Linked DNA regions of Oryzias latipes. The protein of the gene in region 2 purifies or fractionates together with the protein of the main gene of each other region. This does not show direct contact. Links are inferred from orthologs where the notes say so. Each region holds a gene or a part of one and is shown on either strand. Other genes may lie near its edges.

The links.
Region 1: the proteins of polr3g (region 2) and polr3b fractionate together in Homo sapiens (co-fractionation; 4 studies listed by BioGRID and IntAct, with this or other methods). This does not show direct contact. The link is inferred for Oryzias latipes from reciprocal best matches to the Homo sapiens genes POLR3G and POLR3B.

Annotation. Positions count from the first base shown.
Region 1 is NC_019864.2:21,486,790-21,492,488, reverse strand, and holds part of polr3b (DNA-directed RNA polymerase III subunit RPC2), read right to left. Parts: intron 5,649-5,699; coding exon 5,574-5,648; intron 5,029-5,573; coding exon 4,930-5,028; intron 4,859-4,929; coding exon 4,731-4,858; intron 3,874-4,730; coding exon 3,664-3,873; intron 3,545-3,663; coding exon 3,386-3,544; intron 2,158-3,385; coding exon 2,040-2,157; intron 1,945-2,039; coding exon 1,802-1,944; intron 1-1,801. UniProt on the Homo sapiens protein: Catalytic core component of RNA polymerase III (Pol III), a DNA-dependent RNA polymerase which synthesizes small non-coding RNAs using the four ribonucleoside triphosphates as substrates.
Region 2 is NC_019867.2:16,255,034-16,261,448, forward strand, and holds polr3g (DNA-directed RNA polymerase III subunit RPC7), read right to left. Parts: upstream 3,553-6,415; 5' UTR 3,303-3,552; intron 3,173-3,302; 5' UTR 3,152-3,172; coding exon 3,041-3,151; intron 2,736-3,040; coding exon 2,606-2,735; intron 2,062-2,605; coding exon 1,996-2,061; intron 1,919-1,995; coding exon 1,859-1,918; intron 1,781-1,858; coding exon 1,716-1,780; intron 1,078-1,715; coding exon 967-1,077; intron 887-966; coding exon 797-886; 3' UTR 638-796; downstream 1-637. Other genes in the region: mblac2 (metallo-beta-lactamase domain-containing protein 2), read left to right, coding at 3,838-4,279, 5,835-6,049. UniProt on the Homo sapiens protein: DNA-dependent RNA polymerase catalyzes the transcription of DNA into RNA using the four ribonucleoside triphosphates as substrates.

The DNA.
Region 1 (5,699 bases), on a different chromosome or scaffold from region 2:
TTCTATGATGACGCTAAAGTTTGGACAAACTACAAGAGAAATCTTTAGTTCATGTATTTTGTCATTTCACATTTTGGTGAGGTTACAAACTTAGAAAAGAAAGGATTTTTCAAAAAAAAAGTAGAGAAATTACAATTTATTATACAATGAGATGCACTTTCCGTTCAAACGTTGGTGCCTAAATCAGTTTGGGAAAGGCGGACAGCAGAGAAACAGTTTTGTCGTGGATTGTAAGAGGATCTCTGAAGTCCTCTGGCAGAGGACGGCATTTCCACGCTCATGTGGACAGTCTCTCTTTTGACTGGCATGATGAGGGGGACAAGCTGCCTGCTAGTCAGCAGTTTAAGTGCGAGTGCAAATGTTTGCTGAGGGGCTGAAGCACTCTTCCCCGGCCAGGGTAAACTGATTGTAGACTCATTTGCAAATGAAAAAAAAAAAAAGAATATGGAGCAAAGAGAGGCGAGCAGGAAGTAGCGGAAGGTGCTTAGCTTAACAGGGAGACCGGGATTATGCCCCCATGACGTGCAGTTCATTGGGTGGAAGTGAGGGATCAACCGGAGATGAAGAAATTGAACTGGTGCACGTGGGGAAAATTTGCCATTAGGCCAGCGCTCGGCTACAGCTAAGGCCTTACAGGATGCTGCAGCAGGATGCTGAGTGGGAACAAGTGCGGCCATTTAGTGGAAAGTCATCCAACAGCAGGAAGAAGGTGAAAAGAAAAGAGAAAAAGGCGAGTAAGGCAGCGCCAGGAGAAACTCAGAGAAAGAAAGGGCAGAGAGAAAAAAAAAAGGCCCAACATCAGGGAAAAAGGAGAGAGAAAAAAGGAAGAGGAAAGCGGTGAAGAAAGTAAGAGCTGGCTCCAAAAGCAGACATGCTCGGCGTTGTTTGTTTTGTGTAAAAGTGAATGATAAAAGAGGCATGAAATCAGGAGAGAAAGGCAAGACAACAGCAAGGGTCCAGAGCCCTCCATCACAGCTCATACAGCTCCATACTGACGGCTTTGCACAATGAGACCCAAATACTGACAACCCTTACACCCCCCCATTACCACCTCCGCAGCTGAGTGTGTGTGTGTGTGTGACTGGTTAATAATTGACTTATTCTGCTCCGCTGGTTCAGAGAAGTCACGTGAAGCTGGGAGATCCATCACCACAGCCACATTTATTTGTAATGAAATTATTGTTCAGGTTCATTAAAACCCTTTGAAGTATAAAAATGGAAATAAAGTTAGGATATAACAAAAAACTTTACATTTTCCAACTTCTTTTCCTGTTTTTAGAGTAAATTTTGGTGTAAAGGCCAGCTGTTGCACATCTGGGTGCGTGTGTCGGGTTCTCCTTCAGCTAACCCCACAGCGACCCTCATCTTCGTCATCATCTGAGACGGAAGACATTGTCTCACCCCGAGTTGACCGCCCAGCGCCCACCGCCTTAATGAAGAGAGTAACTTATGCATGGCGCCAGTTAGCTTTTTGATTAAAACATCATAGAAGACCTCTTTAGGGGAGGTGCTGCAAAACAATGGAGGTTGTAAACACTTTTTCCCCCAGTAGCAGCAGAATACTGCAGGGGTGTAATAAATTTGCATAGTCTGGGACGGGACAAAGAGCCAATTAATTGAAAGGAGCTCTTGAGAGATGCGGACGGGGGGCAGTGACAGGAACAGATGGAACAAATGGTTTTCCTCTGCTGATACAGTCAATTCCTGTCTTCCAGGAGCTGGCCTGAGAGTTGGTGACATCAACGCGAGGCTTTTGTATTTTCCTGGCAGTTCTGACATGTCAACGCCGTCAGGTTTGCACCTTTCTGCCCGTGTCGACTGCTGAACTTGTCTCCAATCTCCGGCCTCCTGGTCTGCCTCAGCAGGATCTTGATGAGGAAGGCATCTTCAGCATTGGAGGAGATCATGACCTTCTCGATGTACGAGTCTGTGGAACCTTTATAGCTGCAAACAGAGAGCATCATTGAAGATTCAGATGTTTACAGCTGAACAGAAGGATTATTGGTGGTGTGGGGAGGGAGTTGGGGGCAGAAACTCACCTGATGGGAACTTCTTTGTACTGGGGCTGGCCTGGCTGGGCACTGCCCTCCAGTGGCGTCTGAGTGACAGTTGGCATTGATTTATTCACCAAAATTTGTTTGTTCTCCACTTTTTCACCTGAAGCAATCCCAGCACACCAAACCAAGTTAGCAAAAGCTTTGCAAAGACACACACACACAAAAATAAATAAAAAAGAAGAGTACCTCATCTATAGATACAATTCAAAACGTCCGGGCCGGCACTTTCGCATAAAAACAAATACGTATTTCCAAAAAACTATAACAACTGAGAAACAAATGACTTGAAATGAGTCAATAAGTGATCGCTTCCAGAATGAGAACCTTCACCTCTGAGAAAGTCTCTTGGTACTAAAGTAAGCTTTTCTTTATTTCCCAGTATCCCTTTGTCTACACTCTCTCCCGCTAGCTTACAGGCCCTCACAACCCCAACCTAAGATTAGCGGTGCAATAAAAATGAGGAGAGAGAATGGAGCTATCCAGCCATGCAGTCAGATATCAGCTCAGACGAGGAAAACAAAGAGGTAGATGGATATAGTGGACACATTAGAATGGAGCGGAGCAGGGAGCTTGTGGCTGTTTGTTCAGACGACATTTTTTCGTTTTCTCCTGATCCACAACAATTTGAATGAAGAAATACCCAGAAATGCAATTTTAAGCTTAATTTTCTTCATGTATCTCCTTTAAATAAATGCCACAAGAACAAAAAAACACCAAGAACACAGTTTTCATCAGATTGGCCCTTTAAGCCCAAAAAAGGGATCATCTTTACCACTGATGATCATCCAAAAGTTCATCCATTATCTGTCTATCCATGATGTCTAATGTCTAATGAATGCAAAAACTGCAGGACTCAAACTCTAAATATTACTCAGAAGAATTCCCAGAAGAAACTTGAGTCTCTCTAGCTGTCACAAAACTGCATCAGAACTTCAAGCTGGTAGAACAAAGCTGAAGACTTCTGGTGATGAAGAACATTTCATACAAATCATCAAAAATAAAGGTGGAAAGGTCATGATTAGGTCTCTCTTCCACCTGGAGCCGCAGAGTCGGAGTGCACAGTCCCAACAGTTTTTAACATTCAATTGCTCGTCTCTCTTTCAATTGATTTCACTGTGGTTCAATCAGTGATTGTTGTAAAATGCTTTATAAATAAAGCTTGATTAATTGATCGATTTGAAAGGCATGATTCCAATAGATCTTGGGTTTAAAAAAGCTGGGAAAAACGGAATCACTCAAAGCGAAATCTTTAAATGAACAATCAAAATAGTTGCCGCCGTAGATTTTGATGCAAAACTTGTGCCTCCTCCCGCTCAGCTGGTACTCACCAGGACAGCAAATGCCATCAGCATCCAGGATGTTGTGTCTCCAAAGGGGTTTGCGTGTAGCAGCATCCAGCATGGGCCCCATGACTTTGTCAAAAGTCTGGTTTGTGTACCGTCTCAGTGTGCACTTGGTATTTTTGTAAACAAGGCATCGACCAAATCCTGTCAGGAAACAGTCAAAGATTAGACCTCAGATCGACTGGCGTCGTTAAACATGCCCTTTCTGACTAAAGTCAAGAGTTTTCAAAACAAAAAAAGTGGTAGAAAAATGAAGCTCCCACCTCTGTCAAGCGAGGCTTTGTTGAGGACTAGAGCGTCTTCAATGTCGTAGCCGCTGTAGCTCATCACTGCCACAGTGGCATTCTGACCCGCAGGCAGCTTTTCAAAGTCAATCAACTCGATGGTTTTGGTTTTGACCATGGGCCTCTGAGGGTACGCCAACAGGTACATCAGGGTGTCTATGCGGTTCCTCTGGTTGTAGCCGATGGTTCCTGGAAACACAAAATATAAGACCTTCCAAAATCTTCTGTGATAAAATGTATCATTTTGTTTTTATTACATTTTCTATAATATTTGATTGATTCAATCTTTAAAGTAAATTGTAGAGGTGCTGAACTGGGCCCATTTAGCTCACAGAGGAGCCAGTTATGGCATAAAGCCCGGCCTCCCCGGCAGCTTTGACATTTGTCAGATGCTATTACTTAACAATCAGCCAACAAGCAGAGAGTCTGTGATAATAGGCTCAGGCCACACAACCAGATTTGCACATGTATGGAGCTGTCTATACAAAACAGACAACACAGAGGATATTGGGCCAAATATAGTTCCAGTCAGTGTTTTTGTAAGGATGGGAGGAGGGGAGGAAGGGTCGGACGGACGTGTAGCACGGGGGGGGGGCTCGATTCCTACGAATGCGAGCAGGTCCGTTTGGGGAAGTTTTGGTTACCAAGGAGCCGCGGGTGCACACTCTGTGGTCTTTTGCAGCTGAGCACACTGACCCCCCGAGCACTGCCAGAGCAGACACAATGAATTGCTAATGACACTCTGGGTGACTGGCAGGGAAAGGGCCTCCACACACACAGCACAATGAGAACCTACGCAAACGCCCCATGTTTGATGTCCGTGCGCATACACACCTCAACCCACACACACACACACACACACACACATTAGACAAACACTCAATCACACATACAAATGTATTCTGACATGAAGGAGGAGAGCTTTGGGGGGGACAAACCAGCATGCTGTATTTCTAATTACTTTTCACTTGTTCAAACTCAAATCTGAACTTAAAAACATTTCTGATGTAACAATAAAATAAAGAAACGGCTTTGCTAAGCCTTACCCATGGCCTGCTTGCCCATAGCACACTGGTACGTGTTCCTGGGCGACTGGTTGTGGTGGGGGTAGGGAATGAGGCCTGCACACACTCCAAGCAGCGTGAACGGCTCGATCTCCAAGTGTGTCGTTTCTCTGCCGAAGGAAAGGTGTAATGATTGACTCAAACCACCAGGGCGCTTTCTTGAAAGCTCGCTGTGACTCACTTGTTGATCATGTGTTCATAGAGGGCGATCTGACAGTCGTTCTCCTCGTTGACGTCTAGATACTCCACCAGGCCTTCGTGCAGGAAGTCCTCAAAGTTTCTAAGAGGAAACATTCAAATCTGCTGTTTCAAGGATTTTTTACAACAGATCACATGCTGGTGCTTTACATTAATTCATGACAAAGATGTATTTTTTTACTAGTCACACATTAGACTGGGACACAGGCTAAAGGTCAAATACATCAACAGTGTTTGAAATAAAAACTTCAAATTATCTACACGAAGTATGATTTAGCTTCAATTTCAAACTAAAGTACACAAGTCACAAAAGTTCATTATATTATATCAGAAAAAACTACTAAAGCCTTCATATAACGTGTTTCTATGCACAAAATCCATTTCCGTTTATTTCATAATATTTGCAATGCACAAACTTTATTTTCTATGAATTTTCTGCCTAATTCAGTTTCTAATAAAGTTAGAAAATTAGAAACACAAAGTGTGCAACTGAGCAATAATACAAAACCAATTCTTTATTATTTAAACAATTTTATTTTTAAAACCTACTTTGCTAAAACATGTTTGGCTGTGATCCTCAAAAAAAAAAAAGGGGGGGGGGGGGGGCCTTTTGTGACAAAAACTCACCTGTAACCCTGAGAAAGATCTTCAATATGTTTGCTCTTCACCATGGGCTGTCCTTTCTTCACGATGATGTACGGCCTGCAGAGTTCAATGAAAAGTCTTAAGAGTTTTGTCCTAAACTAAAAGATC
Region 2 (6,415 bases):
ACTCTCAAGCTGATGAGAGGTTTTTTTTGTTTTTGAACTCAAGATTCAGCAGGAAAATGCCTTTATCAATTTGACTAACAGCAAAGCAGTTTTGTTGCTTCAGTAAAATGTCCAAAAGAATGTGATAGTTTAAAGACAAAAACAAAGTTTGCCACATTCGTTCTGCAAGATGTCATACATGAAACTATAACAAGATTTTGCTAATAAAGATGGCTACAAATGCTTTTAGAATTAGTTGCTGTGAGGTTTTTTCTTCCCAGTGAACCATCTGTTTGTAAAAATCAGGTCTAATTTTTTTTTTACAAAATTTCTTCTGGAAGAAATCTTAATGTTTTCCTTTGTGCACACGTGAAATACTATTGTGTTAAACTATGACGGGGTTTTAAACTATTGTCAAGACTGAGCTTCAGTGATACTACCAGTATTGAATTTTCAATGAAACCTTGTTTTATCCAAGTGTCCTGAATCTGGCTGGACATGAAACTGTGGTAAAACTGCATATGTGCATCAATATCTTAATATGCAATGTTCCCAGATAAATTACCTAAATGTTATGTATTGTACAGTTGCTATCCTGTGACAGTTTTGTTGACTGTGTGCCTTTCAAGTTGGAAATATACTGCAGGCTTAATAAATATCTATTTTGAATAATTTATTTTTTGAAGTCTGCATATTTATGCTTATATATACATATCCATTAAATAATTACATGGCGTAAACATGAAGTTACTTGGCTTACGAGCTTTAGCTAAACAGACATTTCATATGCAACTGTCAAAGCCATGCAAAATGGGCTTCAGTAGGTTGCTTCCCCATCCATGTTATCGTCACTTTCAGCAGCAAAATCTTCACCGTTGTCAAAATAGCTTTCAATGTAGTCATTTTCCTGAGGAGCAACAAGCAGATAAAACATTAGTTGCATCAAATAAGACCAATGCAGATTTTCCACTATTCCTGGGACCAAACCTCTTCTATGTCTTCTTCGAGTTCTTCCTCTTCGATTTCTTCATCGTCCTCTGCTTTCTTCTCAGTTTCCTCATCTGACTTCTCAGGATTTTCATCTTTCTTGGCCAATTCCTGAGCAGATTTTTTGGGGTGGGATTCAAACTAAATGGTAGGCTTTCTTCCCATTTAAAAAAAAGTCTACATTTTCACAGCAGTTCTCTTTGTTCTGCTTGGCAGTATGGTTTGGGCCAATGTGTTTAAAGCCGATCAGTTAAGGAAGAAATGTTCAAGTCTGAACAGTTTCCTTTTTAAATAGATTTAAGCCCATCAGACACTAAAGATGGGTCTGTCAAGATCATTCAAGAGTCAAACTGTTTTTAAACTTGATGTAATTTGATCAGTTTCAGAAAGGGACATGCGATTTTTACTTTTTTTACCAATTCAAAATCAGAAGCACCAGTACAATAAGCGTTTTTCAGTCTAATGTTGGTATTAAAAAAACAGGTAAAATTGTGCCTTATATTTTACACAGATGTAGACTTCTGCAAAATCTTGCTAAAACTTCGTACAACCATAATCTTTTTTCACATGGCTTTAAACTATTCTGTCCTTATGGCAGTTTCCAAACTAGATTTTTTTATTTTAAAGGCATGTGCCTACTAACTTCAGCACCGAATGACAGCGCCTAAAGACATCCTTGTACAAAGTTCAATTAAGAAAAAAAAACATTTAAATAGTCTAAAAAAGCTAAAGAAGGAAGATAGGCTTACATCCAGTTTACTGAGCACATTGGCTTTATCTTCCTTCAACTTCTTCACAGTTTTAGTCTTGGTGCCTGAAGCAAAAAACACTTTTTAAATAAATAAAAAACACGCATTCAACATTTCCTGCATGCAATGTGACTTTAATTTACCTTTCTTAATTCTACGTTTTTTACTTTGGGGCATCAGTTCTTTGGGAAAAAGGTTCCAGTCTGAAATGTGTGACACGATGTTTGCATTACTTTACATGACACCTTTTGAAAAAAAAATTTCCATCTAAAGCAATTACCTGGAGTCCATTCCTCACTGTTAATCTGGGCTTGTTTCAAGTATCTTTCAGTGTATTTCTCCACCTCTGTTTCATGTAAACAGAACAACAGAGTACATTTGAAAAAAGTATCAGATCAGTGAGAATTTTTTTACTAAACATAAAAGATAAAAAACAAATGAAAGTTAATCTCTGGAATCAATTCATTGCTACAGCAAAAATAAATTTATTGTTTAGACATTTATGCATTGTACCAAATTATTTGTTCATAAATGAATCTTAAAAAGTATTTTCTAATGATCAAAAGTCTGGAACCTGGATTAGAAATTGTCTTTTTTTTAACAGGTGACTTAAATTAAATGTACTCCTTTAAGTTTTTTCTTGGGTTTATGTCATAGACCAAAGAAAATTAAAGATGTTTAAAATATCTGTAATGATGGACCCCTAAAAAAACAACAACAATTGAAAACTTCATAATGAGGCATAAGCAGTAACTATAGAATCTCATTTCTCTTATGTATAACACTCATAAAATGTCTGATTTCCCAAAAGCAGCAGTTATCTCCACTTCCAGCAGCCCAGAATTATCTTGACGTAGAAATCTCTCATATGTCAGCACTCTCCCCCCTACCCGTTTTGCTGGAGCAAGCTTTAATGTTGTGTGGTAGCCTCTGCATTGCTCCTCTTAATTCCTGTTTTAACGCCAGCATGTAGTCTTCCTCTTCACCTCCTTTGAGTGGAACCGGTTTAAATTCAGTAGTCTAAATAAGGGCAAATGATGCAAGATATTTATTACAGTGACACGTTTCTTGTTTATCTGAAAATTGGTGTAATCCAAGCAGGCAGTCATTCTCAGAAAGTGTCCATAAACCAAGTGTTTGACACAAAATAGATTACATCATAGTTTGCTTTCTGAGCACATTTTACAAAGTACTGAGACTACACAGGGAGAGTACACTAAAAGCCCTACGTTGATGACACATGCCAATTTATTTTACTTAAATAAAACTTGAATTTTTGCTAATTAAACCTTCCATCTTTCCGTGTTTGTGTGGCATTTACTTACTGGAAACAGTGGACTGGGCCCCACCCTGGCTTCTGGCATGTTGCCTCTGCCAATGCCCAGAGCATCAATGTTGAAGGTAAACGCAGCCACCCCGCGGCCTTTGCCTGCCATGGCTGCGCCCCTGACCACGACCTGCAACACACGGTTCATCCTCAGGCAAGCACCGTCATTGACAAGCACGTGCTTGCCGGTATTGCACCATTGAGTCCGCTATGAGAAATGACAATTTTTCCCTGATATATATTTTTTCATAAATACTTACAGGAGGCCTGCTGGTAAAACTCTCCTTTTATGGAGACGTGAGATAAAAAAATAAAGTTTTATAACTATAAATGACACGTGTTTCCCAATGAAATCTTATTGAATTTGATTTATTTGTTAAAGCTAAACGGTCCGAGTTTGTGGCTTAGCGGTTTAGCTTACATTTAGGCGAAAAAGATAAGTAAATAAACCTATCGCTTCTTTCTATGGTTTTTTTGTGGAACCGGCTGGGAAACGCATGTGTAACCAATAGACTAGTCAGCGTGAGCAGATGCTTTCCCCTCTCCGCCCCTGCTTACGTCCCAATAGGGCGTTTCTTATTTTCGTCCAATCGCTGCCGCGTTCACATCTACCGTCATTTCTCACTTCGACCAATGGGCTGGCTGCTTTCAAACAAGGGTGTGTGCGGCCACCATCATTACAGCTTCAATGAAACCACACTGCTCCTAGCTACGAGGCTACTAACACTGTTGTGCTAATTCAGCCGACGGCGCGTCTCCCTTCCGAAGCTTACCTCGACATTTGCATGTCCTGGGATGTCTGCAGCCGACTGGTACGCCCACAAGTCGCTCGGAGACGGACTATTCTGGATCCAGGAGCGGTTTTATCAATCGGACAACCGGGCCAACATCTGGTTGCTCCGCGGTTCGCATCAGGACGTGGTGATAGACACCGGCCTGGGGCTGAGGAGCTTACCTGACTACATCGACTCCAAGGGGCTGCTGGGAAAAGACCCGCAGAGGAAGAACCCGCTGCTGGCCATCGCCACTCACGCCCACTTCGACCACTCGGGGGGTCTGCATCAGTTCCAACAGGTGGGCGTCCACAGCGCAGAGGTCGATGCGCTGGCCAACGGAGACAACTTCGAGACGGTCACCTGGTTGAGCGACAGGGAGATAGCCGAGCGCCCCAGTCCAGGGTGGAGAGCAAGGAACTACAAAGTCAAGGCTGTTCAGCCCACGCACATACTGCAAGAGGGTAGGCAGGGCATCTGTCAGCACACATGTGGTGCTTGGTGCTAGTGGGGGCTAAATCTGGGGTCAAACCTACAACTTAAAAACTTCATTCAGTGTATTAGAGTTTCAAAATCCTTCTCATTCTCAAACCAAATTTCTGCAAAACGAAATTAACAGATGGCCCAGTGACAAGCCAGACACAAGAAACCAGACTTTCAAATATTTGCACATGGGTGAGGTTGGGATACTGTGTGGTCCTCACCATTGTCTTGGCTCTCTTCCTGCAAAGCTGATCTATTTTTAAGTCACCATGCTGATGACTTTGGCAGATTCTGTTACTTTCAGGAATGAGTGTGTAGGTTTTTCTCACACACACAGCAAAGCACTGGGATATTTATCACCCACCATCCTGTCTGTGAATAAGTATATTCTGGACATAAGCATTTTCTAAACCAGGGCTCCTCATTCCTGGTACTCGAGATTTATCGCCCTGCCTGTTTTCCATCTCTCCCTGCACTGCTTGCTGCTGACTACCTGGAGCAGGTGTGTTCATTCAATCAGAATGTGGAGACATCTGATTGAGCTAATCATCCGCTAGCAGGACTTGGAGATCTGGAAAACCGTCAGGGTGGTAGATCTCGAGGATCAGGAATGAACAGCCCTGTCTAACCCTTGTGCTATCCTATGGGGTCAAGATGGCCATTGACGTGTTCTCCCTACCGTGGATAAAGATGGAGAGGATTTCATGTAATCCATGGAAACCAGTGAAGATCACAAATCATTAAAGAAAAAAGGTTCAGCGCGCTGTCTAGTGGGGTCTAGATTAGATGACCTCACTCCCAATGTCAAAGTGCCTAGGATACCACAAGGGTTAAAGCATACATTTACACAGCACTCTGCACTTACATCAGATCTGCATTTGTGCAGAGCAGCTCCAACTGTTGGACTGTGGTCAAGATTTCATAAATCAATACGCAGCCTTCTGCTGTGTCAGAGCCACTGTTTTTGTTTGTTTTTGTGTGTTAGCCTTTATGAACTTAAGTTCCATCTCATTTATAACCCATAGAGTTTATTTTTCTAATGTCAGCCCACCCTTTGTATCTATAAAAGCTTCAACTGTCCTGGGATTTTTTTCTACAAGCTTTAATGGTATGTTTACAGAAATGTTAGACCATTCTAGAAGTGCATTTGATTTGTTGGTTGAAAACCAACAAACATTTTTCGCTCTAATTCATTCCAAAGTTTTTCTATCCAGTTGAGTTGTGGACCATGCAGAAGTGACTCACCATACACTCTCATCTATGTCTTTATGGACTTTCTCTGAGCCATCCTCAAAGCTGATCCCATACAGTTTGGATCACAGAATTGTCAAAAATGTCTTGGTATTGTCTTGAACTATCACAATTGCAGCCAGAACAAAGGCTTCCTGGCAGCACATAAATTAAATTCCAATTGAATTAAATAGGTGAGTGAAAACAATATGGTGCTTAAAAGGGGGATGGAGTTTTAATATTCGCCTTCGTAGAATTGGAATGTTGTTATGGATGTCTGTGTGAAGAAGTATGATCTCACTTTAGGGGATGTCATCAACCTCGGCGACAGACAGCTGACCGTTCTTCACATGCCAGGCCACTCTCGGGGAAGCATCTGTCTGCACGATCACGACAACAAGTTGTTGTTTAGTGGGGATGTTGTGTATGATGGCTCCATGATTGACTGGCTGCCCTACAGCCAGGTCAGTGATTACATCAGCAGCTGTGAGCGCCTGGTGGGGCTGGTTGACAGTGAGCAGGTAACTCTCAAGTCATTTCAAATATCATTTATATATTTTGTACCAGGGGGTGGAACAAATCGATTCATATCATAATTTGTGGTTGCTGAATCAATCCGTAGTTGATATTGGTTCATTTTGAACGATCCGGTTCGATCCGATTCACTGACCTAAAATCGATCCAGGTCATCTGTAGCCTAAATGTCTATCATTGTGACTCAGAGACAAATACCTGGATACTGAACAGGCAGGGGAAGTTTTCCAGATTCTTGTATTTCTTGCAAGATAATCAAGTGCAAATTAAATGTGTACAAAAAAACAAGTCAACAAGAATTAATGACAAATCCATTCACATTTTAATGTCACAAAGTTCAGCTAACTGTTTTT